Coturnix japonica: one gene and its partners. The protein of the gene in region 2 binds, or shares a complex with, the protein of the main gene of each other region. Links are inferred from orthologs where the notes say so. Each region holds a gene or a part of one and is shown on either strand. Other genes may lie near its edges. The genes, in order: HDAC3, CIR1, DNTTIP1, NKAP and SAP30.

Region 1 (4,607 bases), on a different chromosome or scaffold from region 2:
AAGGACTGCAGGTGGTCCTGCATTGTAAGACCTGAGCTTTGACTTTGGCCTTCCAGCTGCACCAACTTTGCTTTAAACTGCTGTGTGACAGAGACTCTCATAATGGGGCTTTGTAGAAAAGCAGTAGTTCACAGAGTAGCACATGGTTCAGGACCTGAGTAGGAGCCCTGAGCCCCATGTTTGTCACACCAGCCGTGGTGGTGAATGAACACACAGTGAAACTTTGGGCATGTGAATGTGTGCTGCAGGTAGCAGCTCTGATGTGTTTCTTTGGGGTTTCTAGGGAGTGTGTGGAGTACGTAAAGAGTTTCAACATCCCCTTACTGGTGCTGGGAGGAGGCGGTTACACAGTCCGCAATGTGGCACGGTGCTGGTGAGTCTTATGGGCCTGTTGTATATTTGATGAGGCATTTGCTGTGGGCTTTGTCCCTACATGCACCCTGTTGCTTTCTCTGGACTGAGCTCATCTTAATCTGGTTTTTGGTTTTTTTTCAGGACTTACGAAACATCGTTGCTTGTAGATGAAGCAATTAGTGAGGAGCTCCCATATAGTGGTAAGTTCAGGTTCCCTTGTTTTCCTTATTAGTTGAGCTAAAGCAGTTGTATCAGCATAAGACTTAGCACTTCATTCTGTGTTGACCAGGGCCAAAGAGACAACACTTTTTAACCTTACTTAGTCCTGATTCCCTTCCATCTCCCCTTTGTAGGCTTATCTGATGCAGTAAGGATGTGTCTGCTCAGCATTTTGTTTGGATCACTTCAATGACTCGAGCATTACTTCTGCTGACTCTCATTTCATGTAATTTTTTGCAGTTGCAGAGTTGTACATCACTGTGGTTTATAGGGTCTGGTTACCTCTAGCAAGGTGGGAGGGTGAGCTCTGCTTCCCTACAGAGCTCTGCATCTGCTGACTGACTCCTTTGCCCTCCTGCTTTAAATCCTGCTCATGCTTTCACAGAGTACTTTGAATACTTCGCTCCAGATTTCACTCTTCATCCTGACGTCAGTACAAGGATAGAAAATCAGAACTCCAGGCAGGTGAGTGCCTGCATGTCTGGCCCCAGAACCTTGTGGTAGATGCTCTATCCTGCAAAATGAGATGGAGCCCAGGCTAGGAATTGTGGCTGCAGAAAGCTGATAGAGAAAAGCAAATACATTTGCTCTGGCACAACAGAAAGTCTCAAAGGGTCTATAATATTTCTGAACTCTGCTGGATTGTCCTACTTTTTTCTGAGTGCTGGAGCCTCAGTGATTGAATTAACTTTCCCATCTCTTCTGCTCTGCTGAATAGCTTTCTGCACAAAGGCATTTCTCATGGCCACCACACAGATGATGTAGGCAGGCAGTAGAGCTGACTGTTGTGGCTCTGAGTGAAGCATCAGATCTGCTGGTGACGATCCCTCTCTGTGTTTTTCTGTACAGTACTTGGATCAGATCAGGCAGACAATATTTGAGAATCTGAAGATGTTGAACCATGCTCCCAGCGTGCAGATCCATGATGTCCCTTCTGACTTGCTGAGCTACGATCGCACAGATGAACCTGACCCAGAGGAAAGAGGCTCTGAGGAAAACTACAGCAGGTACAGCTCTGATGTTCTGGTGAGATGAGCTTTCCTTTCTGGCCCTGCAGGTTCCTCTCTGTAAATGTAAAACAGTCCATGTGGTGTGTGGGTGCAGGGCATTTTCTGACCTTTTTGTAGGCATTTTTCTCTGTCAGGGCTCTCCTCACTGATATTGTCTTTTTCCAACCCCAGGCCTGAAGCTGCCAACGAGTTTTATGATGGTGACCATGATAATGACAAAGAGAGTGATGTTGAGATCTGAGGAATCTAATGGACTTTGAACTCTGGACCATGGGGGGTTGCCATGTTGGACGCTGGTGTGGTTAACTGGGCTGCATGGGAGCCAGTGAGCCCTCCTTTCATATTCGACTGCATGTGGTGGCAGCAGAAAACAGCACCACCGCAGACTTCTGCTCCCTGCAAGGCAGAGAGCAGTGAAACGTTCCTTACTTTCCACCATGCATCACGGTTCCACCCGTCACCATCTGGGAAATGGAAATTGAAGCAGCACTCGGACCCATGCCATGGACTGGCTGGCAGCCACACAGCTGCCTTCTGAACCCACTCAGTCAGCTTCTTCAGCTCCCGTGCAGGCTCCTGCCAGAAAGGTGGGAGCTGAAGTGTCTGTGCCTAAAACCTCTGCCTCGTCAGCATCACACCTGCCACATCCCACCATCCCCAGCCCCCTGCTCAAGTACCCACTCGTTTGTCCTCTTGAAGCCTGCGCCGAGACTTTGCTTCTTCATATCCTTTCTACCCATCTGCTGCTCCACAGCTCAAGGAAAACCATTCAAGAAGACAAGGCCAGTTCTGGGGTAGGGATCAGGAGCATGGTTGGAGCAGGGTGTAAGAATGTATGCAGTGTAGTCTTGTTCGTTTTCCCTGTCCTCAGCTTTGCACTTGCAAATGGGTAACACAACACTTTGCCAAGTTGGACCTAACTCTGTTTTTTTCCTTTTTAATTCTTTGAAAGGTTAAAATCACTGTGAAACAGCGATTTGGTTGCCAAGATCAGCACGCAGTGTGTCTCACAGCTCTAACGTAGCTTCCAAGCTGTGTTTTCCAAGTTCACAGGTGTGTTTGCTAGAAACTTGGGCTGTTCACTGGGAGCAAAAACCACCCCCCCCCTCCTGACTGTGCCCCAGAGATTTCACTGCTCACGGGTGAGGGAGGCTGCTTCCTATGGGTCCTGTTTTGTCCTCACACAGCAGAGGTTTCCCAGGTTCCAGACTTTGCTGCTCCTTCTCCTGCACTGTCACCTGGTCCTCTCGTGGTTTGGAGGGTGCTGTATGGGGAGAGGGGAGGGGTTCAGCCTCTTACTGTACGTACTGTTCTGTTTGTTTACTGATGTCTTTAAACATTAAATGAAGAGGCAGTATTTTTCTTACCTGATCTGTTTGTCTGTTTAATGCTTGTGCCTTTTTTGACTCCTGTCTTCCTTCAAGTGTACACTGCTGCATATTGTGAGCTGGAGTGCAGTGAGGGGAGCCCTGGGTCCTGGGTTTATGGCTGCTCCTGCTTATACCTCTGGAACAGGGAGAGCTGACCAGATTGCTGCAGAGTCCATGTAAATACCTTGTTTTAAGTGTAGATTCTTTACATTGCACACTCCATGAGAGGCTGCTCCTCCTGTGTTCTTCAGGCACATCCTTGGTCTCCAACAGAGATGGTTATACAGACCAAGCTGGACCAAGGTGAGACCTGCATTTAAACACTGCTCTGCACCTTGTCAGACTCTCACCACCATCACCCTTTTTAGGCTTTTGATGGCACCAGTTCAATAGTCCATAGTGAAGTCTGCTCTCTGCTTGGAGAGTGAGTCAGGTTGGGATGGATGCACTGCACTGTGCTAAGAGCAATGTCCCACATCCACCACAATCCTCCATAGGGCTGCTATTTCCCTACCTCAGTGTTATCTATTCTATCCCCGTTTTTCCTTTCCACTTTGAATGTGGATGCTGAGCTTCCAGGTTGCTCTGTTATATTGAAATAAGTGGGGATCGATAGGGAAGAGGATCTGAACCTTCCCAGACCACTGACCCTTGTGTGTGTTTCTGAAAGCTCTGTGTTTTGTCTCCTTTCCTCTGCTGTCCCGTGCTCTGTGCTCTGGGCTGTAGCCATGGGTGGGCTCCGGTCGGTCTGAGCTGGTGGGGGGCACCCAACTAACAGCAGGGATGGCACTGGGGGCTGTAAGGTCCCCTCCTACCCAACCATTCTGTTATTCTATGATCCTATGATGTACATTGTAAGGGCAGAACGGTAGCTGGTGTCACCTTGAGACCTGCTGCTGCCAGGAGCAGCTCATACCTCATCTTTCAGAGAGCATCAGAGCGCTCTGTCCTACATACACTGTCACACCTTCAGAAATAGACCTGGAAATGTCACCAATGAGTTTCCAGCCCAGTTATCAGGATGGCTGTGGCTGCTCTCCCTGCGCTGCACTGTGTGAGTGCTGCCCAGCCACAGCCACCCTGCACCCCTAAAAGCACATTCCCCATCTGCTGCACCCCCAGCAGGACACAGGGCTGTGATAGAATCCCAGAGCAGTTTGGGTTGGGTGGGTCCTCTATCACTTCCACTCGTTTAAATACCGGTGTTTCAGCAATTCGGGTCACAGTGCAGAGCTGCTGTTGGACGCCAGGTGGCACATGGATCTCTTGGTTTGAATGGAAGCTCTGTGCTCCCTCTGCAGAATGGAGTTTGCAGCCCTAATTCATGCTGATCAGGGTAACTTTCCAACCCTAGGTGTGGATTTTAGGCACCCTGGTAGTGCCAGCACCGTGTACAGCACCTGCAGAGCCTGGCAGAGGGGGTTCCCAGTGCTCTGCCAGCAGGTTGCACTGGAGCAGTTTGCTTACCGGGATGTACTGGTGCCTTTCTCTGGCCCAGCACATCCTCTGCCCTGCTGTGTTGGTGCCTGGGGGCTTCACTTTCAGGAGCTGCTCCAAATAATGCATTCAGGTGCATGCAGTCACTTTCTGCATTAGGTTAGAAGCTAAAATGCTGTGGAAAAAGTTCTTTCCGTATGTATTAGGTATGGAACAG
Region 2 (5,953 bases):
TTTGTGTTACCTGAGTGTCCCCACACACACTGTGCTTGTCTGTCACTGATCTTCAGCTTCTTTGGGGTGAGAAATCCTTTGCCTTAGAGATCATTGAAATTGTCAGCCATGCTAAGACAAGAAAAATGAGATCTATGTCTGTATTATGAGTAGAATCTCCCTGCAAGTTTTCCAGCAAGAGATGCAGTACCATTTTGTTTTCCCACAGATAAAAAGTGCCTTGTATTGGGAAAGCAGGAATGGATTTAAGTGTTCTCTTGAATCTGTATTAACAAAGGAGAGGTATTTAAATATGTTAACTGCGACCATTTGTATAAATGGCCATCTGCAGAAATGCAGCATGTATGAAACTTTCCTTTGCGGTCTGCAGCTGAGACCTTTGATTGTGAGCAGTAGGAGCCCTAACAGAACCTTCACGTAGTTCAAGAACTATCTCGTTTCAGAATAATCCTCCATTTACGCTTCAGAAGCCTCTGTATTTGGTGTGAATGGCATTTGAGTAATAAATATGGATTCCTGTAGCAGTTTGATATCAGATTTAAATGTTTTTTATTTCTTAAAAATTGAAGATTCTCTGAAATGGCCTGTGACAAAAGCACGGCAATGTGTTACATTCACTTAAACTGCAGACGCTCTGAAGAAAAGCTAATTAAAAGCCAGAGGTTTTGTATTCATTGGTTTCTCTCAATGCCAACTGCAGCAGTTGCTTTGAAGTGTAAATATGGTCTGAATGTAGTCATCCCCGAAAGAGATGGAAAAATTATCAGTGAAAAATGATCAGTTCTGAATTAGTGGAGGCTGCATAAACTTGCTGGGTTCTTCACTACCAGGGTCACGATCATATAATTATGATAATAGCTCTTTGTCCTTTAGATAAATGAGAAGTGTCTACTCTTATCTCTGCCACAACTGCGGTGAAACTTGACAGAAGATATGGCGTGATTAGGCTCAGCCTGTAGTTCTTCCCCATTTTTGTTAAATTTCCTTTTAAGCCACCTGAAAAAGAACCTACAAAACTGCATGGAGAGCACAAAAAGTATGTGGGTATCTTATTGACAAACCTGTCTCATAATTTTGAAGTTAGGTTGTCTTTTAAAAGCAAAACTCAAAAAGCCTTGTGTCTAAATGGTACTCCCTGCCACCGTGCAAAGTCACATTCTGATTTCAGCCTATACTCACCCTTCTTGTGATCATTTGCTAAGGCAACCAGCAGTGTGGTTTTACAACACTTATTTAAGGTGAAAGAGCTGTTTGCAAACTTGCTGGTGTATGCAGGTCTATGGTACTCTGCCTACAGACAGAACAGAACTGGGCATTTTTTGTTTCCTTTATATTCCTGTTTGGAGACTGTAGCATGCAGCTATGCTGTCCTCAGACAGCAGTTATGTACTGGCTAGGGTGATTTTCCCCCGTCACAGGTTGGAATGATGGTTAAAGCGTTACAGCTTCTTACCTCTTTGCTTTTCATATGTATTCTGTAATAAAAATCTAGATAGGAACTTCATTGATTGCAAAGGATAAATGGGTTTGTTTATCTGTACTGGTGACAGTAGGGAAAGCTTTTATCAGGAAGTTGAGCTGACGCTGTCGAGGGTATGTAACACAAGCAGAGAGACTGAAAAGTGCTATCTTGGTGATAGTGGCAATCACAGTATTATGGTCTGTCCTTACTGCCACTGAAACCCTTGTAGAAAAAGTGGTATTTAATCACAGTTGTTATGAAAAAAGGTTTTTAATGCCCTGTTCGCTAATATTGGGTAATTTGAAAAATGTGCTTTAGACATTTTAATGGCGGTCTGCTGGATGGCGTGTTACAGCTAGTATTGTTCTCACAAGGAGGAATCCTTTGCCCATGCTCATTAGAGGAAACATTCTGGCAACAACAAAGCATTACACGCGCTCTTTGCATTTGTGGCTTTGTGAAAAGTACAGACAGAATGGAAAATGACAGTTTTGGCTATAGGTAGCTCTTGTTTCTGGGCTGAGAGCGGGGGTAATAATGTGGGGTAAGAGAGCCTGCTGTAAGCTGGGCGGTCAGTAATTGAAATCCAGAATTATATTGCCCCCTGGTTGTTTAATAGAAGCAGAATTGATTCTGTTAAATTGATCTCAGTAAAGTGCAGTGAGAAATTGGAGAGCTCTTTGTTATAGAAACAAACTGGCAATATGTTGTAGAAGTCTTCGCATGATATCCTTGTGAAATCCAGCATAATGGATGCTCACGTGGGCTTCAGAAAAATTCTACTTACAGCTCTACTGTGTATTTAATTGCATGAATATTATAGAGGTGCACCAATAGCTGTCAAACTAAGGTTGCGCTTGGGTTGTACTTTGTGGAGACTAAAATCCTTCTTTCCACACTTCATTGAGTGGTTTGAGTTTTCAGGTTTAATGTCCCAACCCGGAGGTAACCAAGCCTTAAAACCTACCTTAAATGAAACATAAGAGAGGGTGAAGGTATTAAAAACTCTGAGAAGTAAGAAGCAGGGAGAAATATTTGCTTGAAAACAGTATTTCTTAAGGCTGTGAAAAAGATAAAAACTGTGAAAAATGAAAAGGTAAATTCAAGAAAATAAGCTTGGCAGATTGAGGAATTGCTACTTAAAAATAGCAAGGTATTCTATTTGATGGAGGCCAAATTAGAAACAACTGAATTCATAAATCGCTTTAATCTTAAGGTCTTGTTTGTTTGTTTGGTGTAACTTGTCCATGTCCACCAGACAGGAGTAACAGTGATGTCAGCTGTCCTTGTTACGTAGTACTGTGTTGTGTCTGAACCATTGCAGTTGGAGCTACAAATGCATCTCCTTGATGCCATTAATAAATATGGGAGCAAGGCTTCTGTACATTTGCTTTAGCCTTGTTTGCGTTCCTTTTAAGCATGTCTGTTATGTGTGTGGCTGTGCTGATCCTGGTGGGAGCAGGCACTCTAGCAGGCCACCTCTTTGCTTGTGCTGGTCAATGCTTTACAGCACAACTGCAATCAGCAGGGCAGAAATACACCAAAACCAGTAACGTTGTGCTTTCGTGATTGGCTTTTGATGTGGAAAAAATGCAAGAGATCCTGAAACATTTCCTAAGTTTTCTCTTCTTCATTCTTCCTTAATGTATCAGCCTGTTTGTTTCTGTGAATAGTGTGCTATACAGGAAAAGAGAAAATGCCTGTTCAGGGAATGATGTGATATATTGATAATCATAGCGTTCAGTTAAAGCCAAAGAGCCAGGTGTGGGGTATGTAAGTTACAGCAAGGCCAGTGTGGTTCAGACAAAGCTGCTGTGCCTAATCCCAAGCACCTACAGTAATGTGAGGCACTGCACGCTTTTGGAGCTGAGAGCTGTGAGTAGACTTAGAGTAACAGTGCAGAGACCCAGCATGTCTGGAGGGCCCTAGAATGAGGAAGGACGTAACTGATTTTTCCATGCATTTATTTTCTATCTGCGTACCATGTTTCTGATGATGGTTACTTTCTATGTTTGAGTTCCAAAATGTGTGAAGAATTATGAAAAGCACCTTATTAGTGGCATAGTAGCAACGTGTTTTCCCCTTGTGTTAGGGGAGAAAGAGGCTCTTAAAAGTCTTGTTTTATGTTTTTTCTTTAGGTTTTCTGTGCTTTTTGTGCTATAGCAGAAATACACTTACCTAAATATATTGTTTTCAACATGACAAAGTTACATAAGAGAATCCCCTTGTACTTAAAGAAAAATGCAATTATTTTCTATTCTGAATCTCCAGACTGCTGTTTTAGAAAATCATATCTGATTATTTGCTCAGCAGAAGATTATTGAGTTGATTTAGCTGTGATTTTACTTAACAAAGCTTCAACTGAATTCCTACTGTGGAGTCCAAAAAAGGTAGAGAGATATAAATGATACATTCAAACTGTGATTTTTGTGAACAGGGCCATCAATGCACCCCTCGGAGCTAATAGCGGAGATGAGAAACAGTGGGTTTGCACTGAAACAAAATGTACTGGGGAGAAACTTGACCGCAAATGATCCATCACAGGTAATGATCTTTTTACCAGTAAGCTGAAAATGTCTATAAATCTAAATGTGATTGCTTGTGAATTGCTACTTAATGTTTTCCAATATGCATATCCATAGGAAAGCTGAATAGCTGCACCAGTGGAAAATCTCCAGAAACTTACTGTGTTTTCCAGCTCTGTTTTAGTCACAACCATGAATCATAAGTTACCTTTTTTTTATTTTAAATCTATCTGTAAAAAATTAAATACCTCCTTTGGGTGGCTAGAAATTAGATTTTTCATAAAGGAGTGGCTGTGGGTTTTGGCACTTAGATGTGGCGCAATGGTGGCCTCCTCATGAATGTTTGCCCAAGTGTTACCAGGGCTGCTATAGCCAAAGATGTTCTTGCTTAACTGAATATTGTTATGTCTGTTATTTCTGAGGGAGAAAATATTTAATTGTCATTACTTAGACTGCATAAGATATATTTAAAATAGAGGCAATTTGATAATAATAATGTAAAGTGAATAATTTGCACACGTTACTCGAGCGAGCTGCTATGTGATAACCTATGGGAGGATAGTCAAGATGCCATGACATCAAGTTTCAACTAGAGACAGACAACAGCCCTCAGCTGGTCTTGAAACACCGCAGTCAATCAGTAATTCCTTCTGTCTTCACAATTGGATGTATGTAGGATGCTCCAAAAGTAATGCTTGCTATTTATTTCCATTGAAACAACAACAAATACGAAGAGCACGGTAACCCTATTTTAAAAAGCAAATTCTCAGCTACAAAACACTGTTTTTCAACATGGTCACCACCATTAGCTGGTTCACACAGATGAACTGATTGAGATGCTCTTCATTTTGTGGTGTGACAGCTGTGCATGGCCATCTGGAACATGACATATCTTTCATGTTGCTGTCATCACTGCTGAAACACACCACCCACCAGCTCACTGTGCTCACATCTGCTGTTTGATCTCCATAAACATTGAGCAAGCATCGGTGAATGTTATAAGATGCAGTTTTTTTATGTATGGAGGGGTTCAGTGACACACCTTTGCTCAATGCACACTTCCATGTTAGGCCCCATTCTGTCAGACTGCCCCTCTGCTGCCATCTGTCACAAGGCAGCAACATATAATGGACTGTTGGTGGGAAGGTTCAGCCTCTACTGCCACACCACCAACATCTGCCTTTGACATCATGGGCCAACATAATAAAATAGGAGGCAGTATTTCTGGAGCAGCCTTTGTAATGTATGGTTAATTGGAGCAAGGTGATACCAGTACTTTAGCCTTACGTTAGGTGAGATATTTCTTGGTTTTGGGTTGGTTTTTTTCCTTCTTCTTTATTTTATTTTATTTTTTGGAAGAGCTTTTTAATCTTTATTTCCCCTCTTAAGTGTGGCTGAAATAAAAACCATTGCGGTGGAGCACTGTAGTGTACCAGATGTACATAATTTGAAGATCTGAGGGTCATAAAGTAGCTATGCTGTGTTGATTGCAATACTGTATGCAGATTGTATGATTACTGTATTTTGCATTGCTAGAACACTGTATGAGCATTTAAGCGCTAATAGCACAACAGTAAGGTAGATATGTTAATACCCATTTTCCTAATGACAAAACTGAGACAGAAAAGTAATTTGCTTAAATTACTCCGGGTTTGAGCAGGACTGGCATCGTACCTATTCATCCAAGCATGACAAAAATGAGGTGACTTATCCTGGGGAATTGTGTGGGCTCCAAAATAGGCTCATTTTTATTAACTGTTTCAGAAATGCTTCTTTCCCTAGCAGTGATTTTTTCATATGTTACTAATAACTTCTGTTGTATAACCCCACGTTACAGCACCTACTCAGCTTGGAGACAGAATGTGGGTGGGTGTTTTTTTCCTTGCAGCAAGTACGTTGCTTTTCCCAAAGAGTCTTCAGTTGACTTGGTAATGCAAGCACACTTGTGCCTGTGCAAAAAGAAGGC
Region 3 (6,396 bases), on a different chromosome or scaffold from region 2:
GCGGGCCGCAGCGCTGGGCACAGCGGCGGGGTCGGCGTTCTGTGAGGCCATGGCGGTTCCGGGCCGCTCGTGGGGTCCCTCTGCTCTCGGTCCGGTTCGGTCTCGGTCCGCTCCTGTCCCGCTCCCGCTGTGTCCGCCCGCCGTTCCGCCTCGCTCCCGCACTCCGTTTTGAATGTTTCAAACTCGCTCCTCCTCCACCAATCAGCGCGCACTTCCGCTCCCACCAACCAATCGGACACCGCCCAGAATGCGGCCGCTAAAAGAACGGCGGGTGGACCCGGAAGAGGCGGGACGGCGCATGCGCAGAAGATCCCTGCTCCCCCTCCCACCCCGGAGCGTGAGCCCTTAAAGGGGCCGCGCCCCAAATCCCCACCAGGCGTGGAAACGGGTGCGAAGCGGCGGCTTTTATTGCGGGGCCGGGGCCGGGTGTGAGGGCTCGGGGTGTTCGGGGTGTCCAACGGGCGGACCCTCAGGAAAGGCCTCGGGGTGGATCTCGGGGGGCGGCGGCGGCGGGTCCCCCCCGTTGCGAAGCGTCTCCATGTACTTCTGCATCTTCTCCGTCATCCAGGCAGGCGGGACGAAGGGCTTCAGCTCCTCCAGCCGCAGGTCCACACAGTCCCTAAGGGAGAATGGGCTGAGTGCGGGCCGAGGGGTCCCGGGGGCAGGCCGGGCCTCTATGGGGTCCCCGGTATAGGGAGCCATCCAGGTGACCCCCCCGTGTGCACAGCCCGGGGTCTCACCTGTAGTCGTCAGTGGCCGCCAAGTCGCGGATGTCCTCCTCCAGCAGGAGATAGGCCTGCAGCAGGGCGAGACACGCGCTGTGCTTCTGCTGGGGCCCGCGGTGCCCACGGGGCAGCTCTGCCCCCTGTCCCTGCAGTGCTGCCTCTCGTTCCTGCCCAACCCCAGGAGCAGCAAACACCTCTCGGCCCAGCCCTGCTCTGCCTGTCCTCCTCGTGGCCCTGCCCCACACGCTGCCTGGCCTCTCTGCTCCTCCGCCCCTGTCCATCCTGAGCAGGTTTCCGCACAGTTCTTGGGCTGTCGTGGGCACGAGCCCGGCCGTACTCACCATCTTGCCCCCAGTGGCCCTCAGGTGCTGCTGCTCTGCCAGCCATTGCTTATCCTGCGGGTCGGCTGCGTACTGCAATAAAGCAGCAAGGACCTGGCTGAACACGGGACGCAGACCTCCCACCTGGACCACCCTCCTGCGGGGCACAGCCCGTTCCAGTGCTCTGCTGCCAGCACCTCACCCCCACAGCACGGTGCTGGGGGCTCCCAGAGGGAGGGCTTAGCCCTGCCTGCTCTGCTCTCAAATAAAACCCTGACTCTGGGCAAAACCAGCACCTGAGAGGCTGTGCTACCATTAACGTGTTTCAGTGTGCTGGCCAGGTTGTGTGTACGTGCTCTAAGACAACAAATGGGGCGTGGGGAGGAAAAGCCAAGCGAGTCAAAGCGCACACACCCAGTTCCCATCACAAACTGCTTCTGAACAAACCCCAAAGGAGGAGGCATCCTGCTGTGGTATCTGACCTTAAAGAGGTGGGGATGCTTGATGTAGAGTCGCCCTCTTGTTCCTCCCATCCCGAGAGCTCTGAAAAAGGAACACAAGGGGGTGTTACACTGGGACAGAGGGGCCCTGCAGCAGCACGGGGCACCTCCTCTCCTCCCCAGGCCCCAGCCCTTCCTACTGCTTTCGAGGCAGAGAAGTGAAGTGACGGGAGGAGTCTTACGGGCTCCTGCCTGGGAGACACCACCCTCCATCAACAGGGCCATTCCTTACTTGTTTGCTCGAGATCCCAGCACAAAGGTTGTGGTTTCAGTCAGTCGGGATGGATCCCACTACAGAGCAATTGGAAAAGGGGCAACATTAGAAATGAAGCTGGTGCCAGCCAATGCTCCACGAGCCTCAGCTCTCTGACGGGGAACCTAAGAACTGATTTGGGAGGGAGGGAGGTAGCCACAAACCTCTGGATTGCCACAGAGGAAGGAAACTGCACCACCTTGGGCTGATCTAAGCTGTTTCCCTTGTAGGAAACGCTTTGTGGGATCCTCCTGGCTACCACTAAGGCTCTCCCCATGTCTCCTAACAGCTGCACCACACCACAGAGCTACAGTGCCTGGAGGAAGCAAGCAAAGGCTTCCAGGCACTGTAGAGACTCAGCAGAGTAGGGCACAACCTAGGTCTGTTCTGTGCTGCCGCTGCAGGCAGGGCTCTGCTAGCGGAAGCGAAGGGAGGAGAGGGTGAGCCCAGCAGCATCAGCCAGCCAATACCTTTGGTCCATCCCTTCTCACAGGTTCAGAGACTTTGAGCTTCCACCTGAAGGGAAGGAAAGTGAAATAAGAACAGGTCCTAGAAAGATCAATGCAGACAGACACCACAAGCTCCCAGCGGCAGGAATCTGAGTTTGAGCCTTTCCAGATCCACCCTCTCACACCTTCTCTGAAGCCCCATCTCTGCTGTGTTCCCTGTTAGCAGCTGTGTCACACACAGCTCACTGAATCATCCACCTGGTTCTGCACATCCTTTGGCCCTGTTTAAAACAGTTCCCTGGAAGGCTTTGCCTCCTGTGACTCAACCTCAGCCAAAACTCTCTTGCCCTTTGCCATCCCCCCCTACACCTCTCTTTTGTGCAGGGGGAAGGACACTGCAGGTTTTGGTGCCCCTTACTTCAGGCAGTTTTGTTTCCCGCTGCCCCCCCAAAGCACGGGCAGCAGCTTGAGGCCCATACTCACGCAGACATGCCTGAGACCCCACGATCGTTTGACAGGCTCTGTCCTGGAGGCCGTCCCTTTCTCTGCATGGAAGAAATCCTTCAGTCATTCAACTGTGCACATAGAAAGGACCCTTTTGATTATCTGTTCCATCCTACAGAAGCAGCTCTTTCTACCACAAGCACAACAACAGCATGAGAACAAGCACCTCTGAGCCTTCACAAAAACCATTCATACTTGCACATGCTCATACTGTGGTAACAGGAGCAAGGAACAGATCTCCCAAAACATAAAATCCCTCATGTGGAAAACCCTCCTACCTTTTTGGGAAGGGGGCTTCCTCGACGATTCAATTCCTCATCCATCTGTCGGGCACGCTGGAAGAGGAATGGTGGGAGGATGGAGACAAACCCTTCTCCCATCCCAGCCAGGCAGGGCCCCAAGCACACAGCCTGCAGCTCTCATTTGCTGACTTAAGGCAGAGAGCACAAGGGCACAGACAAACTCTGCAGGCAGCCCATAGCAGTGCAAAGCACTCAGATGCTGCACCTGGGGTCTGCACTGGTCTGTAAGTTACTTTCCCCACAAGACAAACATTTCCCAGCTCCACCTCCTCACTTGCACAGCTAGTAGATAATTCCAACCCCGTCATTCTATTCCTCCCAGCTCTTACAAATCATTTAATCCTCCATGAACAACAACTTTTACCTTTGGTCCCATCTGCTCGTGGGGCAACCTGGACACAACTTTTTTGCCATCTGAGAACAGCAGCTTGGCCTGTAGAAAGAGAAGGAAGGTCACCTATTCTGGGTGGAAAGGGGGACTACCAGCAACAACCCCTGCTTCACCCTGTGATGAGAAGATCCATCTTCAAAGGCACCTGTGCTGATGGGAAAGCCCCAGACCATGTGAAACATAAAGGCCACATCTAAAGACCAAACTCTTTATTGACATCTGGCCACTACAGACTAAAGATTTGGGTCTATCTGCCCCCAGGTCCCATCCCAGAAATAGTCTCACGTGTGTTTGTACCCACCTGCTCCAGGCAGCTCCGACACGTCTCCTGGATCAGCTGCTCTGGATCCACGTCCTCCCCAACGTTGTCTCGCACGTTGAGTGCTGCCTTCTGGAAGAACTGGGGGAGGAGCAGCATGATGTCAGCAGCCACGTAAACTCCATCCAGGGTGCAGCACCCAGCTGCCCTCACACAGTGTGCAGGGCTGGGTCCTCTGAGATGCCGTGGCTGCTCCCTGTCCACTCACCTTCATGTACTTATTGAACACAGCCCGGATCTCCTCGTTAATGCTGGGCTGCAGCACGGCTCGCAGCAGGTCCATGGACACGATCGGGTCGGTGAAGCTGTGTGAGCACATGGAGTCAGTCCCGGTGCAGGCACTATCCCGGTGCCCCCATTCCCTCCCTTTAGGCCCATCCCAGCCCCGCTCCGGTTCATCCCTCCCCGCTGTCCGGTCCCTCCGGTACCTGGTTGTCATCTGTGACCGCCGGCCGCGCCGCTGCACCTGCCGATGCTTGATCATGATGTTCCACGGGCTCTGCGGGACACAACCGTCAGCCCCGAGCCCGCCTCCCTCCCGTCCTCCCTCTCCACCTCCTCCTCCTCCCTCCCCCCTCACCGTTCCTCCCGGCTGCTCCTCGCCTCCTCCCGGTCCCTCCTCTCCCGGAGGCCCCGGCTGCTGCTCGGCGTCACGGGCGGCGCCCATCGCGCTCCGGGCCCGCGGCGCCGCTTCCGGAAGCACCGGGTTCAATACGTCATCGGAACGCGACACGCGTGGCGCGACGGAAGTGGCAGCGGCTTCCGGCGGGTGGGTCCGGCGTGGCGATCCCTGCCCGGTGCCCGGTGATCCCTGCCCGCTTCCTGCCCCGCCTGGCCGCCATCCCCCGCCCCGTGCTGCCCCGCCGTGGGGCTGTGAGGAGCCGGGACCTGTGGGATTCAGCTTACCGGAAAGCTCATTGCTGTACGCAGACATGGCTGTAATACATTTAACTTCTTAATTCTCTGTGTTATGACCGATGTTTGGATGCACGGAGCTGTATCGGTGCTGTAATGACGGTGCTGTGCCCAAGGGGGCCGGGGCTGCAGCAGGGCAGGATGGCATTGCCTTTGTAGCTGCACGGCAGTGCCCTGGCAGCTCCCATTAGCTCATAACTGTGCTGTGCTGCCCCTTAGGCCGTGCCCTGAGTCACTGCCACCGGCTGGATTCACCCCGTGCCTTTGTCATTCTCGAGGCAGATAGGAAGCAGATAGTAATCTGTGGCTAAAGAGTAATGGAGATAATTGCACTGTTATCATCACCGTATCACACCTCTCCTGTGGGGTGTTCGGAACACAACGTCAGTGCCACCTGCTGCGAGCGCACCGCTGGGTACCGCTGTCTGCTCTTGTGCTGGGCAGAGACCCACGAGTGGCAGCACCGACACTGTGCTGAGCTGCCCCTCCTGCTGGGGCTTGGAGGGCTCCGGACAGCACAGTAGGTGGCAGGGAACTGTGGCACGAGGGAGCTCTGCTCACCATGGTCACAGAGGTGACACCATCGAGCTGAGATGTGGGGCACAGGGACTGCAGCGGATAGGGGCGGTTCACAAGGGAAATAGCTCCAGAACTGAGTCATGGCCACGAGGAGTGGAAGAAACCTGTACTTCGAGCTCATTTCTTGCAGTAAGCCTCCTTCCCACGCAGGTTTGGTGGCATGCAGGCCCTGCGCCTTCCCACTGCTGAACACATGGCCCCAGTGCTGCCCATGTGTGGCCTTTGCCACCATTTGGACGAAGCTTTCTGAAGCAGTTTTGCCTTCTGAGCTTTCACACAGAGTGACCTGCACATGCTGACAGTGGTAGAGATGCTCCTGGTGCAGAGGAGAGACATAAACATGGTGGCACACTGAATTCTTTGTTCACTCTCAATGCAAACACAGGGCAGGGGCTGGCAGCATGGAGCTGAGCTGTAATACCTGCCCTGGGCAGCTCTCCTCCACTCAGTGCTGCGGCACTCCGTGTTCTGTCTGCCAGGAGACATTTATTCCTGCTGGTTTTAAAGCATAACAAGCTACAGCATTGACATTCAACCCTGCACAGGTGGAGCTGAGCTCCTCCGGGGCAATGGAGGGGGGGAAATCTTGCTCTGCAATCTGGGAAGGTGCCCCTGGGGGTGAACGAGGAGCTCTGATGTTACCAGTGCCCATTAAGGGTTTATGGGCCGAGAATCGGGCTGGCCGCAGCCCGGTGTTCCGGTGTCTCCTCCTGCCCTGCTGCTGCGGGTGTCCCACGGGGCACGCAGGACGTGGGAGGTGCCCGGGGCCGCCTCTCTGCTGTAGCTTAAATCCCGTCTGGGCGCCGTGCGGGCAGGGTGCTGGCACCATGCGGGGGGGTGCTTGGCTCCTGCTGGGGCTGCTGGCCCTCGGTGTCCCGCTGCACGCCGCGCCCGCTGCAGGTGAGCACGGCCCCGCGGTGGGTGAGGTGCGCTGTGCGCTGTGCGGGTGGCTCTGCTTTGGTTTTATATCCCAGCACTTTCTGCCAGAGCTGCGACCCTCGCGAGCTCTAGCCCTGCTTAAGGCTCCTAACCTTTGGCTTCTGCGAAACGTTAAATGTCGTGCGAGTCCGGTTCAGAGCGCTCCAGCTGCAGAAGCTTCTCTTGCTTTCTGTTATTTCCTTCTGACGCTGCTTTTTCTG
Region 4 (6,580 bases), on a different chromosome or scaffold from region 2:
GGAATTATTTTTCCTCTTTGCCCTTAGTCTTTCTGTAGACCATCTCTCGAAAGCTTGCAAGGATCTTATTCTCTCTTTTTCTCCTCTCCTCCTGGTTGAAGGATGCCAGAGCTCTCTTTTCATCTGCGCTGTAAATTTGGTTCTCTTTACGCAGACGCACAGCTTCCATTCGACGATGTCTGTGGAAGAAAACATTGTATACATAAGCACGGGCAGAAGGACGTAACGCCCCGTGACAGCTTCCATCCATTAAGTGACCTGAAGGTTTTGAAGGGCTAATAAACAAAGACACCTAAACCAGGGAACCCAAACTGCAAAGAAACCTCCAAGGAACGAGCATAGCTGAGCTGACATCTGAGGGTGTCTGCTCTCAGGCAGTGAGCAGGAAGTCCCTCACGCTCCCAAAATAGCTTGCCAAAATATAAATGAACCTCCTTTTGTACTGGTAGAAGAAGGTATGGTGAACCTCTCACATTAATTTGTCTCATACCAAAGAGCCAGCGCATAGCCTCTGCTGTCCAAACACACAACCCTTAGGGCCATTGGAGACAAGCATCTAATTTGAAATAAAGAGAATTTGAAGCATACTATCTGGAAATAATTTTGATTCTTCAGGAAAAAGTGACTTTAAGAAACTATGCATCTATATATAGCAGTAGAGTTCAGCATATGCCACTGAAAGCGTACAGAGCACGTGCTCTTCAGAGCTTTCAGCTACAGCCTGGGAACAGCTTTTCAGCAGGCCAACAAAGGAAGCAGCTTTGGAAAATGTTACTGAAATATTACCATCATAAGAAACATACCTGCTGCCGCTCATCACGTAACCGGAGCTCTCAAACGATGCAATTTCTTCACTGGTCAAGCCAATCTCACCTCTCCGAGGAATGCGTTTTCCTGCTTTTACATACTCTGCCATTGCTGCACCTTCACCCGGCAACAGGGCGTGCCCATAGCTAAAGAAACAGAGAGACAAACAGGAGGGATTTTAATCAGTCTCAACTAGAGTGAGCCTGAGCCAAACATCCAGCTCCCCCAGTCACTACCAGCTACATTTTAAGGACTTCCTTACTATTTCCCAAGTACGTTCCCATTTCATACTTACAGCTAATCTCAGCAAGAACATTTTAAGTAAGCAGTTTAATAAATTCTGGTTAACCAGTAATGAAGGCTGTATGAAGTCACAGCTCTGCAGAGCATTAGAGTAAAGGCACTTTACTGAAGTAAAAACCAATTAATTTTCTACGAACCCAGGCTAAAATGCGTAAAACAGACTTTTCTACTTAAACTCAGGTCAGAGTAAAGACTAGCACCACTACCACTTCTTAGTTTCTGGTACAGCATCCCTCTTGATATAAATCATATTATTTTAGGTCTTTCTGAGCAGAAATCTTTATGCTAGATTTACTTGACTCAATCAAGGTACCATTTAGAGTACTCACTTTAAAGGCCTATCATCTTGAGACGCATGTGTTTTGGGAGCTTCTGGTCCAATCAAGCTATCAGCTTCTGTATTTTCTGCAATGATCAAATAGTGAAGCAGATCAATACTGTGCCTCTTCTTTGTTATCAGAGCAGTCAACAAGGCAGCAAACACTTAAAAAAAAAAAAGCATGAAAAGAACACCAAGAAGTTTCAAGACAAATCTACGGGCACCTACTTGATCTCTCAATCCAGAGATCCTCCCCTTGAACTGTTCCATCATCAGAATCTTCACTGCTGGAATCACTGGATTCCTTCCGGCTCTTTTTATTTTTCTTTTTCTTGTACTTCTTCCTGCAATAACACCCAAGTTATCCACCAGCATTTAAGATAAAAAAACGTGCTAGGAGTCATACTCAAGTTATGAGTTTCTCAAGATACCTTCCACCAAGGACAGTCTGCATTTACATTGCTGTTTGATTGAAAACAACCGATAGTTAAACAAAGACAACACATCCACTGTTATGGCTTTCATACAGCGCTCGAAAGCGGCTCCCTGTGTTTCAAGGATCTCTCTGTGCTCTGGGATTCTGTACATTTGATGCCAGTCAAATTATGATTATCCACCTGCATTTACAGCTCTAATTACAGGAGCGCTCAGCTTCCCTCCGTTCCTGCTAAGACTGCGCTTAAAAGTAGATGCAATTATACTTCACAGCTTGGAAACTTACTTCCTGTGCTTCCTTTTCTTCCTTTTGCTTTTCTTTTTATCTTCATCTGAAAAACAAAAAACAAAAAAAAGGGAAGATTATGCATCATCAAAAAGCATACACTGTGAATTAGTTAATGCCTCCACCAGAACATCTCAATACACAGCTTGGACATCATTTGTTCTCCCTTACCACTGGAGCTCTGGTCGGACTCGGACTCGCTGTCACTGTCCTCAGAATGTTTTCTGTGTTTCCGTTTGGACGCCTTCCGTTTTCTCTTCTTTCGCTTCTTCTTCTTCTTCCTTTTTTCCTCTGGAATGTTTATAAAAGATAACATTAGAAAAAGATGAAGACTTAGTTCCGTGTATACATCTGGAGCATCCCAAAGCAACAGGGCCTATCACACTCACTTCAACCCAAGTCAGTGAACTTCCTGACAGCAACAACAGCAGTTTCTAGGTAGCGACTGGTTATCAAAATGAGCTGTATAAACAAAGCCAAATACCTTCCGAGCTGGAATCCGAAGAGCTGCTCTTGGATTTTGCCTCTTCGTCTTCTACTGGCGTGTGCTCATCAGAACTGAAGAAAAACAAGTTTGCTTTTTAAGATCTATTTTGTAGTATTTAGTAACTGAAGATCAGATGCACACATACACTGAAACACGTGCTTGTGGATTTTGAGCCACTACTTGCAACAGAGCAAACTGTGCAATGGCCAGCGTGCGAGACAGCAACTGTTTTCAGAACCACAGCAGAAAAGGCACCTATCACAGTATAGAATGTATCATAGAATGCCCTGGGTTGAAAAGGACCATAACAATCATCCAGTTTCAACCCCCTGCCATGGGAAATCATGTAATTGCGTCATGTCTTGAGTAACTGATGTGATGGGATTATCTGAATAACGTCTGTTTGCTTATGTTGGTTCAGATGCTTCTGACACAATGAATTGTGGCACCAGAGGACTCATGCGTTATTGTAAATTCCTCTAGAATTGATATCATAAAAAACAGAGTGAGAAGCAAAACTGTGCCTTACTCAGGGTCAGGAACCTTTGGCGAAAGCCCCCAGACTTCAGGTGCTCCCAGCTCTCCGATTCTCTCCCTCTCATTGAGTCTCCTGGAATGAAGCACACCGTTACTGGACGCTGACACGTCGCACCCAGCGAGCAGCTGCTTGCGGGCATGTCCCACTGCCCATAACAGCGTGAGAACGGGACTTCAATAACAACCTCAGCCCAACCCACGCCCGCAGGCCGAGCGGGCAGAGTCCAGCCCGGCACCCAGAGGCTCGTGCAGCGCCGGCGGCTCCCAGCCTCAAGCAGGGAGAGCCCGCAGACCCGCCCGTTGCCCGTTCCCCGTTCCCGCGTTGGTACTGGCCTCTGCCGCAGGATCTCCTCCTTCTCCTTCTCGTAGTACTCGGGCCAGGCCTTGCCGTGGTGGTGCCCGTGGTGCGCGGAGGCTCGAGTCCCGCCGGGGCTGCGCTCCCGGGATCGGGACCAGCTGCGGCTCCGCCGGTGGCAGCCGCGCCGCGATCCGTTACGGGACCGGGAGCGGGACCGGGAGCGGGAGCGGCGGCCGCGGCGCTCGGGGCTGGCGGCGGCCGGGCTGCGGGAGCGCGACACCGGCGCCATGATGGCGCGGCGGCATTTCCGGGCGGCCTGACGGCACTTCCGACGGCCGCCGGGCCGCGCTGCGCTGCTCGGACGGGGGCGGGAGGCGGCGGCGACGGGGCGCGGGGCGGAAGCGGGGCAGCCCCGCCCGCGGGGCGCAGTGCCCCACCGGCCGTGCGGAAACACGGCGACACGGCGGCGGGGCCGCTCCTTTGTCACCGCCCGGCACCATGGAGGCGCGGGCACAGCCGCGGCCAGGTAAGGCGGCGCGGGCGGACGGCGCACCGGGAGCGGCCTGCAGCCGGGAGCGGCCGGGGGACGGCGGTGCGGGGCCGGGTGAGCACCGAGCGAGGGGGAGCGCTCGCCGGGCCGCGATCCCCGGTGCCCGATGCCCGGTGCCGGCCGGCACATCAGCCCGCGCTGCTCTCGCGGCCATCCCGGCTCGGTCCGGCCCCGCCGCTGTCAGAGCGGCTGTCAGCGCAGCCCGGCCCCGCTCCCGCACACCGGCTGCCGCCCCAGGTTTCACGGGCCCGCTGCCGCCATGCTGCGGCTGTGGGAGCGCGGGGCACATACACGGCTCTTATTTACACGGTTCTTACTTACACGGCTCTTATTTACACGGCTGTTCTTTACACGGCTGTTATTTACACGGCTGTTTTTTACGCCTGCTGTGGGCAGGGTGATGTGGATGAGGCAGGTGGAAGCTGCAGTGCCTGTCACTCTGCCAGCTGAATCCGTACTGCCTCAAATGCTCGTTCCGTGCTTCCCATCTCGGGAGGATCCCGGAACGCAGCCCTGCCCCCTCCACCCGGCCCTGCATCCCCACACGGCACACAAGGTTACGACACCGACAGGCAGAGCTGGTTGCTGCTAACCCACATTGCTGGTGCTGGGCCCCGTCCCTGCAGCCATTAAAGGCACCCAGAGGTGCAGCCGGGGCTCTGCCATCGTGGGTGCAGCCCCAGCTCAACGTGGTGCCCAGCGCTGAGGCGGCTCCTTTTGGATCATTTCCATGCATCAAAATACAGTTGCTTTGTGTTCTTACCCACTGAACACCACCTCTTGTTGTGTGCTCTACACGTCCACATCTTAGAAAAACATGCTTCATTTAACTTGTCACTGTATACGTTTGTATGCTTGTTCAATCCCCAAACACTTTGGAGGCTGATCTGCAAGAGGCCTTGCAAGGCCGAATGGTAAAGCAGTTCACAGCTTGGTTTTGGGAACCCCAGAGCACTGCTCCTTCCAAACCAGTGCTTGTCTTTAGCTGTAGGTTCTCCTGTGAGTTCCTGCAAAGTCTGTAGGATCAAACAGATCAGGAACCGCAGATAAAACGTGCCATGAGCTCGGGTTCTCTGTGAGAACACTGCAGAGCACTCACACACACTGTGTCCAGGAGACTGCCCGGTGTGTGCCCGCACATGGCTGTCGCACACGCTCCAATGCAGGGTACGGGGTGGGCAGAGCCGGGCAGCGGGAGCGCAGCGTCAATGCCGGACGTGGCCGCCCGAGGCCTCGATGGAGGCGGCATCACCCGCGGCCCACGCGCTCCCGTCGGCAGCCGAAGCCGCTCGGCTCGTGGCTCCGAATGCAGCCGAGCGCGCTCGGGCGGAGCGCCGTGCCGCCGTCCCGCGGGGCCGGGCAGCGCGTGGCAGCGCCTCCTGCCGGCCGCGGTCAGGGGGCGGCGCCCGAGCCCGACGAGCGGCGGCTGCGGCGGGGCCGGTGCCCGTGAGCGCGGTGCAGGGCGGCGGGTGCCAGGTAACGCGGGCCCCGGTTCCGCTCCTCGAGCCGCGGCTCCCCCTCGTCCGCCCTGCCCGCCTGGCCTCGAGCGGGAAGCGGCGGCGGCGGGTACGGCCTGGCCGCGCGGCGGGGCCCCGTCGGCTCCGGGCAGGCCGCGCCCCGGGTCCGCCGGCCGTTATCGCGGCACGACACCGGCCGGCCGGCGGCTGGGACACCTGGCCGTGCCGCGGGGGGTCGGGGCCGGGCGCTCGGCAGCCGGCGGCCCGTCCTGCGCCGTGCGGGGCGCCGGGAGCGGGCACCTCCCGCTCGTGCCTGCGTGCGGCCTTTGAGGCGCCGAGGTCAGGCGCTGCCCGGGCCGGTTCGGCTCCGCGCTGCCGCCGCGCCGCGGCCTCCTACGGGAATGGGCTGCGGGAGCGGGAGCCGAATGAATGGATGCTCGCGGAGCTGAAGGGCCGGCGGCGTTGCCTGCCACATCGGGGGTGGTTGTCTGCTCTGCTTGTGGCCCTTAGAGAGCTGGGTGCTCCCGAGCTTCTAACCGTATGGCATATTTTCATAATGCAGCGTCTGTTAACGTTCAGCCTTTCAGAGAAGCCCATCTTGCTTCTCATATTTACCTCACTTGCCGCTGAATCGAAAGCAGGTTTTTCCCCTGCTATGAACAGAGTATATTTATGACTGCACGTGCCTCGTGTGGACAAACACTACATCTGCACAGTGCTGTGACACATGAGCTTATGAATAATACCTCACGTGGAGATGTGTTATTTCAGAGGATGGAGTAAGCTGAAAAGGCAGAAATGCTGCCATACAGTTAAAGCTCTCAGTGTGTGGTTTTGCTTGATGCCTCTTGCTTTCTTTTTACAGGAATGGAGGGGGAAAACCTGATTTCCGCAACAGACACGCAGTACTCTAGTTCACTCCTTCAGTCTTTGAACGAACAACGTGGCCACGGGCTTTTCTGTGATGTTACTGTTATTGTGGAGGAACGGAAGTTTCGAGCTCACAGGAACATTCTTTCTGCCTCGAGCACTTATTTCCACCAGCTTTTGTCGGTGGCTGGGCCGGTAGTTGAATTGAGCTTTGTGAGAGCTGAGGTTTTT
Region 5 (6,475 bases), on a different chromosome or scaffold from region 2:
CTTAAGCACTGGAAGAGGCTGTCCATGGAAGCAGTGGATTCACCGTTCTTGGAGGTATTTAAGGCCAGGTTGGACGGGGCCCTGGGCAACCTGATCTAGTAAAGGTGTATGTTTGGTGGCCCTGCCAGGCAGGGGGGTTGGAACTACATGATCCTTGAGGTCCCTTCCAACCCGGGTCATTCTGTGATTCTGTTACTTGCAACACATTTACAGTGTGCTCGCAATCTATTCAAGGTGATGTGTCCAGTTATCATTCTTCCCTCTCAAATACAAACCAGTCAAAAGTGAACAGGAGTGGGAGTGGGACATACAGCATCTCAAAGCACGTAAGCTGCTCAGCTTCCACCTGTACCTGGTCCTCCTTGGTGCCAGGAAGTTCAGGGCCCATAAGGTGTGAATCTGGGCATTCTTTTCAAGACAAAGTAGCTTTTAGGCATTCCTACCAAAGGAGATGTTCCTTCCCTGTTCCTGAATCATTCACACAGTCCTGCCCTCCATCAGAGCTCCCTCTCTGCTAGGACATGATCATATAACTGAGCAGTAAAGCAGATGTGGGTTTAACATAACTGATTTTCTTTTCCCTGGTCTAGTTGTAACCAGATCCAGTTTGCCACAGAGCTTTAGAAATGCTTTTACAGGCACAAAGAAAGACAGGGCACAGGTGTGAAAGTCAGCAGCTTACAGAAGAAGCAGAACTGTGTTTCTCAGCCCTGCTGCAGCCTTATCATGATCTAACCATGAAACTATGATACTGCTCTATTGAAATTCAGCTTAGGAATTAACATATTGGCGAGCACGGCTGAAATCAGGCTTTTATCTGCTCACGAACTGTATAAAGAGGATCAGGAACATATCTGAGACATAGTAGTCTCTACATTTTAACAGACCACAGCAAACATAACAGACTGTGTATTTTATGCTCAGCATAAGGTCAAAACCATCTGATGAAATGAAACGGATCACAAAAGACACAGTGTAAGCTGGTAGAAATTGCTACTTGTGACCCTGATTTCTGCTGGAAACTTCCTGGAACTCACACTTCTTCCTATATCTTCTTTAGGTAAGGTCTCCTACTGTTGTGTGGCTTTGTTTGTTATTATTAACATCATTATAATCTTTGAAAGGGTCGAATCACAAGGAACTTGAGCAGCGAGTTAAACGTCCCTTTTCTGAGCTGACACAGTGGCAGGGTGTGGAACTGAACCCAGCTGGGCTGTAACAAAGGAGGGTTCGGTATTTTTTCCAGCTCTTAACCCAATTTCTCCCTTTAATCACAAAACGTGCCCTCATGCATAACTGCTGTCTGTCACTGTACGCTCAGCCTAACTCCACTCGCTGGATCCTTCAGTCGCAACTGCTGGGAGCGTAAGCGGGACCTACCCTCGTTCTCTAATGCCAGGTTACGCAACCGGATTAAAAAGCCATCTGCAGCACAAACCCAAACTGCAGCATAATCGCACTCCCTGGCTCAGGCAGTTGTTGGGCTTACACGGGATCTGCGTCTCCTCAAATCGCTCGCTGACCTCCCGGTTACTCTCCTGATTCCACACTCGCACAGTAATGGATACGGCCGCATATTTCCGCGGTTACCTCACGGCGCTCGGGCCCGTTAGCGAATTTAAGGGCTCAAAAAGGAGCGCAAAGCCGCCTTTTTGCGCTCTGAACGCACTCGGACGAAAATAGGTCAGAGGCGGCCCCACAGCGGCTGAGCTATTACAGGCTGTGCGTTAACGCGGCTCTCGTGTAGCTTTCTTAGAGCTCGAAATATCTCAATACAGGCAGCGTTTGATCCGGACACAACGCGGAGCCTCAGAATCCACTTCCCGCCCCCGGTAGCGGCACGGCCGCATTTCAAATCCCAACGGCCGCGCCGACGGGGAGGAGCGAAGGCGGCGTCCTACCAGCCGGCCCGGGCCGACACCGCCACATGCCGGCGGGGGGCGGGCGGAGCCGCGGCACCGAGCTGCAACAAGCTGCGGTGTGTGCGGAGCGGAGCGCCCCGTCCGCCGCGCAGCTCGGGAGCCGTAGTTTCCCGGCCTCGCCGCCCGCAGCGCAGAGCGGCGGGACGAACTGCGTTTCCCGGAGCGCAACGCGGCTCGGCCTTGAGCAGGCGCAGTGCTGAGGGGCGGGGCGGCGGGCAGGTTGCTGTTGTTGCATAGGAAACAGCTGAAGAGTCTCCACATGACAGAGGGGGAAGGAGGAAGCGGGGCGGCCCGTGGGGCGCCGCCAGCGCGCCGGTAGCCGCGGGGCTCGGAGCGAGGGCGCCCGTCGCGCCGCGCGTGTTCCCTCGCGGTCCGGGCTGAGCGCGGCCGTAGAACCCTCCGGGCCCGAGTCCCCTCGCCGGGGGGAAGCGGTGGCGGCGCTCGCGGGGCTTCCCGCCGGCCCGACGCGGGGCATGAACGGTTTCGCCCCCGAGGAGCTGCCCCAACGCGGGGCCGACCCCGCCGTCGCCGCCGCGGGCGCGGTGAGCGGTGCGGGCTCCGGAGCGGAGGTGCCGGCGGGGTCGGCGCCCCCGGGGCTGGCCGTGGGAGCCGCGGGCGCGGCCGGGGCGGGCGGCCCCGGGGCCGGGCAGCTGTGCTGCCTGCGGGAGGAGGGAGAGCGCTGCGGCCGCGCCGCCGGCAACGCCAGCTTCAGCAAGAGGATCCAGAAGAGCATCTCGCAGAAGAAGGTGAAGATCGAGCTGGACAAGAGCGTAAGTCTTACGGCAGCGGGCAGCGGCTCGGGGGCGGCTTTTAAAGTTCTTTTTTGGCGTGTTTTCTTTTGTTTGCGGGTTGTTTTTTTTTTTTGTCTTTGCCGGCGGCGGGGAAGCGCCGTTTCCCAGTCCCTCCTTTCCCGCAGCGCTGCCGCCGCCCCGTCCCGCCTGGAGCCCGGCGCTGTCGGTGCCCCACCCGGCGGCCGTGGGCGCGGGGCTCCGTGTGGGGAGGGCTCGGCGCGGCCGCACGGTGCGGCCCTGTGCAGGAGAGCTGGGGAATGAGGGGAGCGGCCCGCGTGTCGCTTGACCTTGCGGAGGTAAAGCCGTGCGGATGGGGAGGAGGTGGCATTTTGCCTCCCGCGGGATGTTCCGGAGGCTGCCCGCCTTCCGTTCGTGCGTGTTTGTTTGCCGATCCCCGAGTTGCTGCGAGCGGTTGGAGGGAGGGTTGTGTGCGCGCTTGTCCCCGCTGCGCGACGTTCTCTGCCAGTCAACCGGTAGCCGCTTCCCCCCGTCCTCCCGCCGAGTCGGTGGAGGTAACATAACAATGCCTCCGTGCAGCGCTATCAGGCAGAGGGGCTTCCCCACCTCGCTCCGCGTGAGCGAGGCTGCCTAAGGAATGTCTCTGTAGATGCCTCTGTGCTGCCAGGCTGGGAGGAGCTTGCACGGGTTTGATTGAAAGATGCGGTCTTACTCTTGTAGGCGAGACACCTTTATATCTGCGACTTCCACAAAAACTTAATTCAGAGTGTGAGAAATAGAAGGAAGAGAAAAGGCAGTGATGACGATGGTGACTCACCAGTGCAAGACATCGACACTCCAGAGGTAGCCAACGGTTTTTCTAATAGTTACGTTAAGTCTGTTCCTGCTTCAGCCGTGCCTGCTTTTGGGGATGGCTCCTGATGTGCTTGGCTTTTAATATGACAAAAGCAAACTGGATTCCAGGGTGTATTTTCTCTATTAGATGTGCAGAATCTCAGGCAGCTGCTGTTTTGAACTTTCCTTACAGTTTTGGCTCCAGGAGCCTGCTAGAAGTTGTTTTGCTATGAAAATCAGTCTTTGTAAAGGTTGACAGGACACACCGGACTTGGGCTATAACTGCTTCTCTGTCACATCCCTCCAATCCTTTCCTTCCATGTGAAGCACGTTGCAGATGGTGCCTGTAGTTACCACTTAGTGTAGCTGGAAGTTTCTCAGTGAGGGAGCTCACTGGTTTTAGTCCTTCTTGGGGATAGAGATGCTGAGGCAGTTTTGCTGAGGAGGAGCTGAAATAAGAAGGCATTTCTGCTTGCCTTCCTTATTGTAGGCCAGTGAAACACCACCCGTTTTGGAAGTGAACTACTTTCAAACTTTTTTCATAGTATAATGTGAATGCACTTAAAGCTTTCTTCTTCCTACATGTGTGCTGGATTATTTCTGTTACAGTTTGTGTGTTAATCGTTGAGCACAGCCTACCCGGCCTCAACCAAGAGATTTATCCAGTGTTTGTCAGAAGGTGCTTGAGGATTGTGAACTTATCCTTAAGGTCAGCGTCAGCAATGTCAGTGATGAAACTTCATGCAGGAATCTCTGCCTGGAGGCACACGGCTCAAGCCTGAAGGCTTTGACTATAAGAGGATTTTAGGAGATTGGAAGTAGTTTGATGCTGGGCTGTGGTTTTTGTCAGCTAAAAACATTGGATGGCATCTCTGAAAGCTCTCTAAACCTGCTGTTCTTTGTGGCTTTTGGTAGCTGTCTGGCACAGTGGCAACTGCAGCTTTTGCCTGTTTATTTGCTCAGACAGGAATAATAAAGCATGACACAACTGATGGATATCCCTAGAACAGAAGAAAGGAAATGTATTTTCAGTGGTAGTGGTGCAGGGAAGTAGGTAGTTCTGGAGAGTTTCAGCATGCAGTTCCTGTGTGGTGTTGGTGTGCTATAGATGCCCACTGGCCCCTTGATTTTTGAACTGCCATCCAGTTTACTGCTGACCACCTGTAGGGCATTCCCATTTCCAGAAGTAGATGTTAGGAGTGATTTGCAGTGACTTCCACAGTGCTGCTGTCTTGAGTACGAGGGCATGCCATCCTCTTAACACGTAAGGCAGGGTTGTATCAAGTCTGACCGGGTCACCAGGAGTGCACTGGCACTGTTGTTGCCTTAAATATTGCATAGCTGAGGCTGCTGGATGACTTTAAAATAGAAGTTAATGCTTTAACCAGTCTTTAATGCAGGAAGTTTGGAGAACAGTGCCGTAATTGCAACTGACCTAATGGAATTTCTTGTTCAACCTGCTTTCTTAGCTTCCTTTCCTCCTCAGTCTTCTGATTAAACTTTGTTTTACGCTGTCAAGAAGGTGAGAGGGTAAGCTGTTGCTGGGAGAAGCGGCTGTTGATCTGAGTTCATGGGATTAAAAACTGAGAGAGTACTGGGTTGAGGCAGTGTATTTATATCCCGGAGAGGAGCTTGTGCAATGCTGTGAACTGTCAGCTCACACTGAAAAATAGTTTTGGGCAACTATGCCTATGTACATAACTCCTCTGTTGTGCTTATTGTAGCAGGGATATTCTTGGACACCAAGACCAGCTCTTTTTTTTTTCCTCTCCCACCTCAAGCCAAAAACCTTCATGTTCTAGACTTTGTCTTGGTTCTAACTCATGCTGTCTCATGGTGCAGCTATGCTGCTGTAGACTGCAAAAGACTTCATGGCTGAAATTGAAATGCAGAGCCTACCTTTTGAATCAGCATCTTCATAGATGTTATGATGTTATGAGTTTTGTTACTGTGCTTTGTGTCATCATGCTGAAAATGGGGGGGGGGGGGAAGGACAACAATGAAAGAAAAAAACAGAGACGATTATAGTACTGTAAGTTCTAAATATTGTCTGCTGCTAACAGGAGGAAGAGCCGTACTTAGTAACAATAAACTGCTCTGAAACTGCAATGGAATGTTTTTCTTTCTCCTGGAAGGTGTGGAGTAAAGTTTTGTTCTCTGTCAAAACGAGCTCTACTGAGCTGACAGTGTGTGGTTGTGTATGTGCAAGTTTCCAGGATGACGAGGGAGACCTTATCAATTACATTAGGTTGCTTTCTTCCCCCTTTCTCCTTTTCTTTTAGGTTGATTTATATCAGTTACAAGTGAACACACTTCGAAGGTACAAAAGACACTTCAAGCTACAGACCAGACCGGGACTTAACAAAGCACAGCTTGTTGAAGTACGTATGAGTGTTTACTCCATAATAGAAAATGCAATTTGCCATGGCATGCGTTGTGTTGGGTTTTTTTTTTCTCTGCACAATGTGATCCTTGCATGAAGTGCATATATAATCTGGGTTTTATGAGAGCAGAAAGGAGCTGCTTATCTGGCTTCCTTCACTGCCATAGCTCCTGAGCCAAGGAAATCAGAAGGAAGAGCTTCTTTCTAGAGAACGGACCCATAACTTTCAGAAGGAGCATGTGTTGCTTGAAAATAGTGAGCTGAACAGTAAGGTGACCTGTGCATCAGCCACACCTTCCAACTTAAGTATCCTACTGATGATAATTTGAAATTGAGAGGTAGCAGTGGTAGAAGTGCCGCTTGCAACACCAGAGGCCTGGGTTCGAATCCCCCCTGTGGCGTAAGTGGTAGAAGTGCTGCTCTGCTACACAGGAGGCTCGAATCCCGGGGGTTGGACTCGATGATTTCTAAGGTCCCTTCCAACCCGCACGAGACTGTAAGACTGTGAAGTTCTTTTAAGATTCAGGCTTGGCTTTACAAAGCTGATTAATATAGGCATCTTTTCACGTATAGGAAGTTCAGAAACA

What was found.
Region 1: CIR1 (region 2) and HDAC3 share a complex: the UniProt entries of both Homo sapiens proteins name them as parts of the notch corepressor complex. The link is inferred for Coturnix japonica from reciprocal best matches to the Homo sapiens genes CIRSR and HDAC3.
Region 3: CIR1 (region 2) and DNTTIP1 share a complex: the UniProt entries of both Homo sapiens proteins name them as parts of the histone deacetylase complex. The link is inferred for Coturnix japonica from reciprocal best matches to the Homo sapiens genes CIRSR and DNTTIP1.
Region 4: CIR1 (region 2) and NKAP share a complex: the UniProt entries of both Homo sapiens proteins name them as parts of the notch corepressor complex. The link is inferred for Coturnix japonica from reciprocal best matches to the Homo sapiens genes CIRSR and NKAP.
Region 5: CIR1 (region 2) and SAP30 share a complex: the UniProt entries of both Homo sapiens proteins name them as parts of the histone deacetylase complex. The link is inferred for Coturnix japonica from reciprocal best matches to the Homo sapiens genes CIRSR and SAP30.

Annotation. Positions count from the first base shown.
Region 1 is NC_029528.1:14,745,340-14,749,946, forward strand, and holds the end of HDAC3 (histone deacetylase 3), read left to right. Parts: intron 1-283; coding exon 284-373; intron 374-495; coding exon 496-554; intron 555-958; coding exon 959-1,038; intron 1,039-1,422; coding exon 1,423-1,580; intron 1,581-1,754; coding exon 1,755-1,824; 3' UTR 1,825-2,954; downstream 2,955-4,607. UniProt on the Homo sapiens protein: Histone deacetylase that catalyzes the deacetylation of lysine residues on the N-terminal part of the core histones (H2A, H2B, H3 and H4), and some other non-histone substrates.
Region 2 is NC_029522.1:15,082,392-15,088,344, forward strand, and holds part of CIR1 (corepressor interacting with RBPJ 1), read left to right. Parts: intron 1-3,899; coding exon 3,900-4,006; intron 4,007-5,953. UniProt on the Homo sapiens protein: May modulate splice site selection during alternative splicing of pre-mRNAs. Regulates transcription and acts as corepressor for RBPJ. Recruits RBPJ to the Sin3-histone deacetylase complex (HDAC). Required for RBPJ-mediated repression of transcription.
Region 3 is NC_029535.1:9,477,194-9,483,589, reverse strand, and holds DNTTIP1 (deoxynucleotidyltransferase terminal-interacting protein 1), read right to left. Parts: upstream 4,494-6,396; 5' UTR 4,431-4,493; coding exon 4,344-4,430; intron 4,263-4,343; coding exon 4,192-4,262; intron 4,069-4,191; coding exon 3,972-4,068; intron 3,845-3,971; coding exon 3,746-3,844; intron 3,487-3,745; coding exon 3,418-3,486; intron 3,087-3,417; coding exon 3,030-3,086; intron 2,793-3,029; coding exon 2,731-2,792; intron 2,315-2,730; coding exon 2,269-2,314; intron 1,837-2,268; coding exon 1,778-1,836; intron 1,589-1,777; coding exon 1,528-1,588; intron 1,139-1,527; coding exon 1,067-1,138; intron 797-1,066; coding exon 741-796; intron 620-740; coding exon 406-619; 3' UTR 384-405; downstream 1-383. Other genes in the region: UBE2C (ubiquitin-conjugating enzyme E2 C), read right to left, coding at 1-51; aspartate and glycine-rich protein-like, read left to right, coding at 6,085-6,157. UniProt on the Homo sapiens protein: Increases DNTT terminal deoxynucleotidyltransferase activity (in vitro). Also acts as a transcriptional regulator, binding to the consensus sequence 5'-GNTGCATG-3' following an AT-tract.
Region 4 is NC_029519.1:15,369,954-15,376,533, reverse strand, and holds the start of NKAP (NF-kappa-B-activating protein), read right to left. Parts: upstream 3,777-6,580; 5' UTR 3,762-3,776; coding exon 3,508-3,761; intron 3,248-3,507; coding exon 3,167-3,247; intron 2,709-3,166; coding exon 2,635-2,708; intron 2,442-2,634; coding exon 2,322-2,441; intron 2,197-2,321; coding exon 2,151-2,196; intron 1,774-2,150; coding exon 1,658-1,773; intron 1,516-1,657; coding exon 1,440-1,515; intron 954-1,439; coding exon 804-953; intron 180-803; coding exon 5-179; 3' UTR 1-4. Other genes in the region: ZBTB33 (transcriptional regulator Kaiso), read left to right, coding at 3,971-3,998, 6,345-6,580. UniProt on the Homo sapiens protein: Acts as a transcriptional repressor. Plays a role as a transcriptional corepressor of the Notch-mediated signaling required for T-cell development. Also involved in the TNF and IL-1 induced NF-kappa-B activation.
Region 5 is NC_029519.1:38,528,699-38,535,173, forward strand, and holds the start of SAP30 (histone deacetylase complex subunit SAP30), read left to right. Parts: upstream 1-2,069; 5' UTR 2,070-2,395; coding exon 2,396-2,692; intron 2,693-3,391; coding exon 3,392-3,514; intron 3,515-5,787; coding exon 5,788-5,886; intron 5,887-6,475. UniProt on the Homo sapiens protein: Involved in the functional recruitment of the Sin3-histone deacetylase complex (HDAC) to a specific subset of N-CoR corepressor complexes. Capable of transcription repression by N-CoR.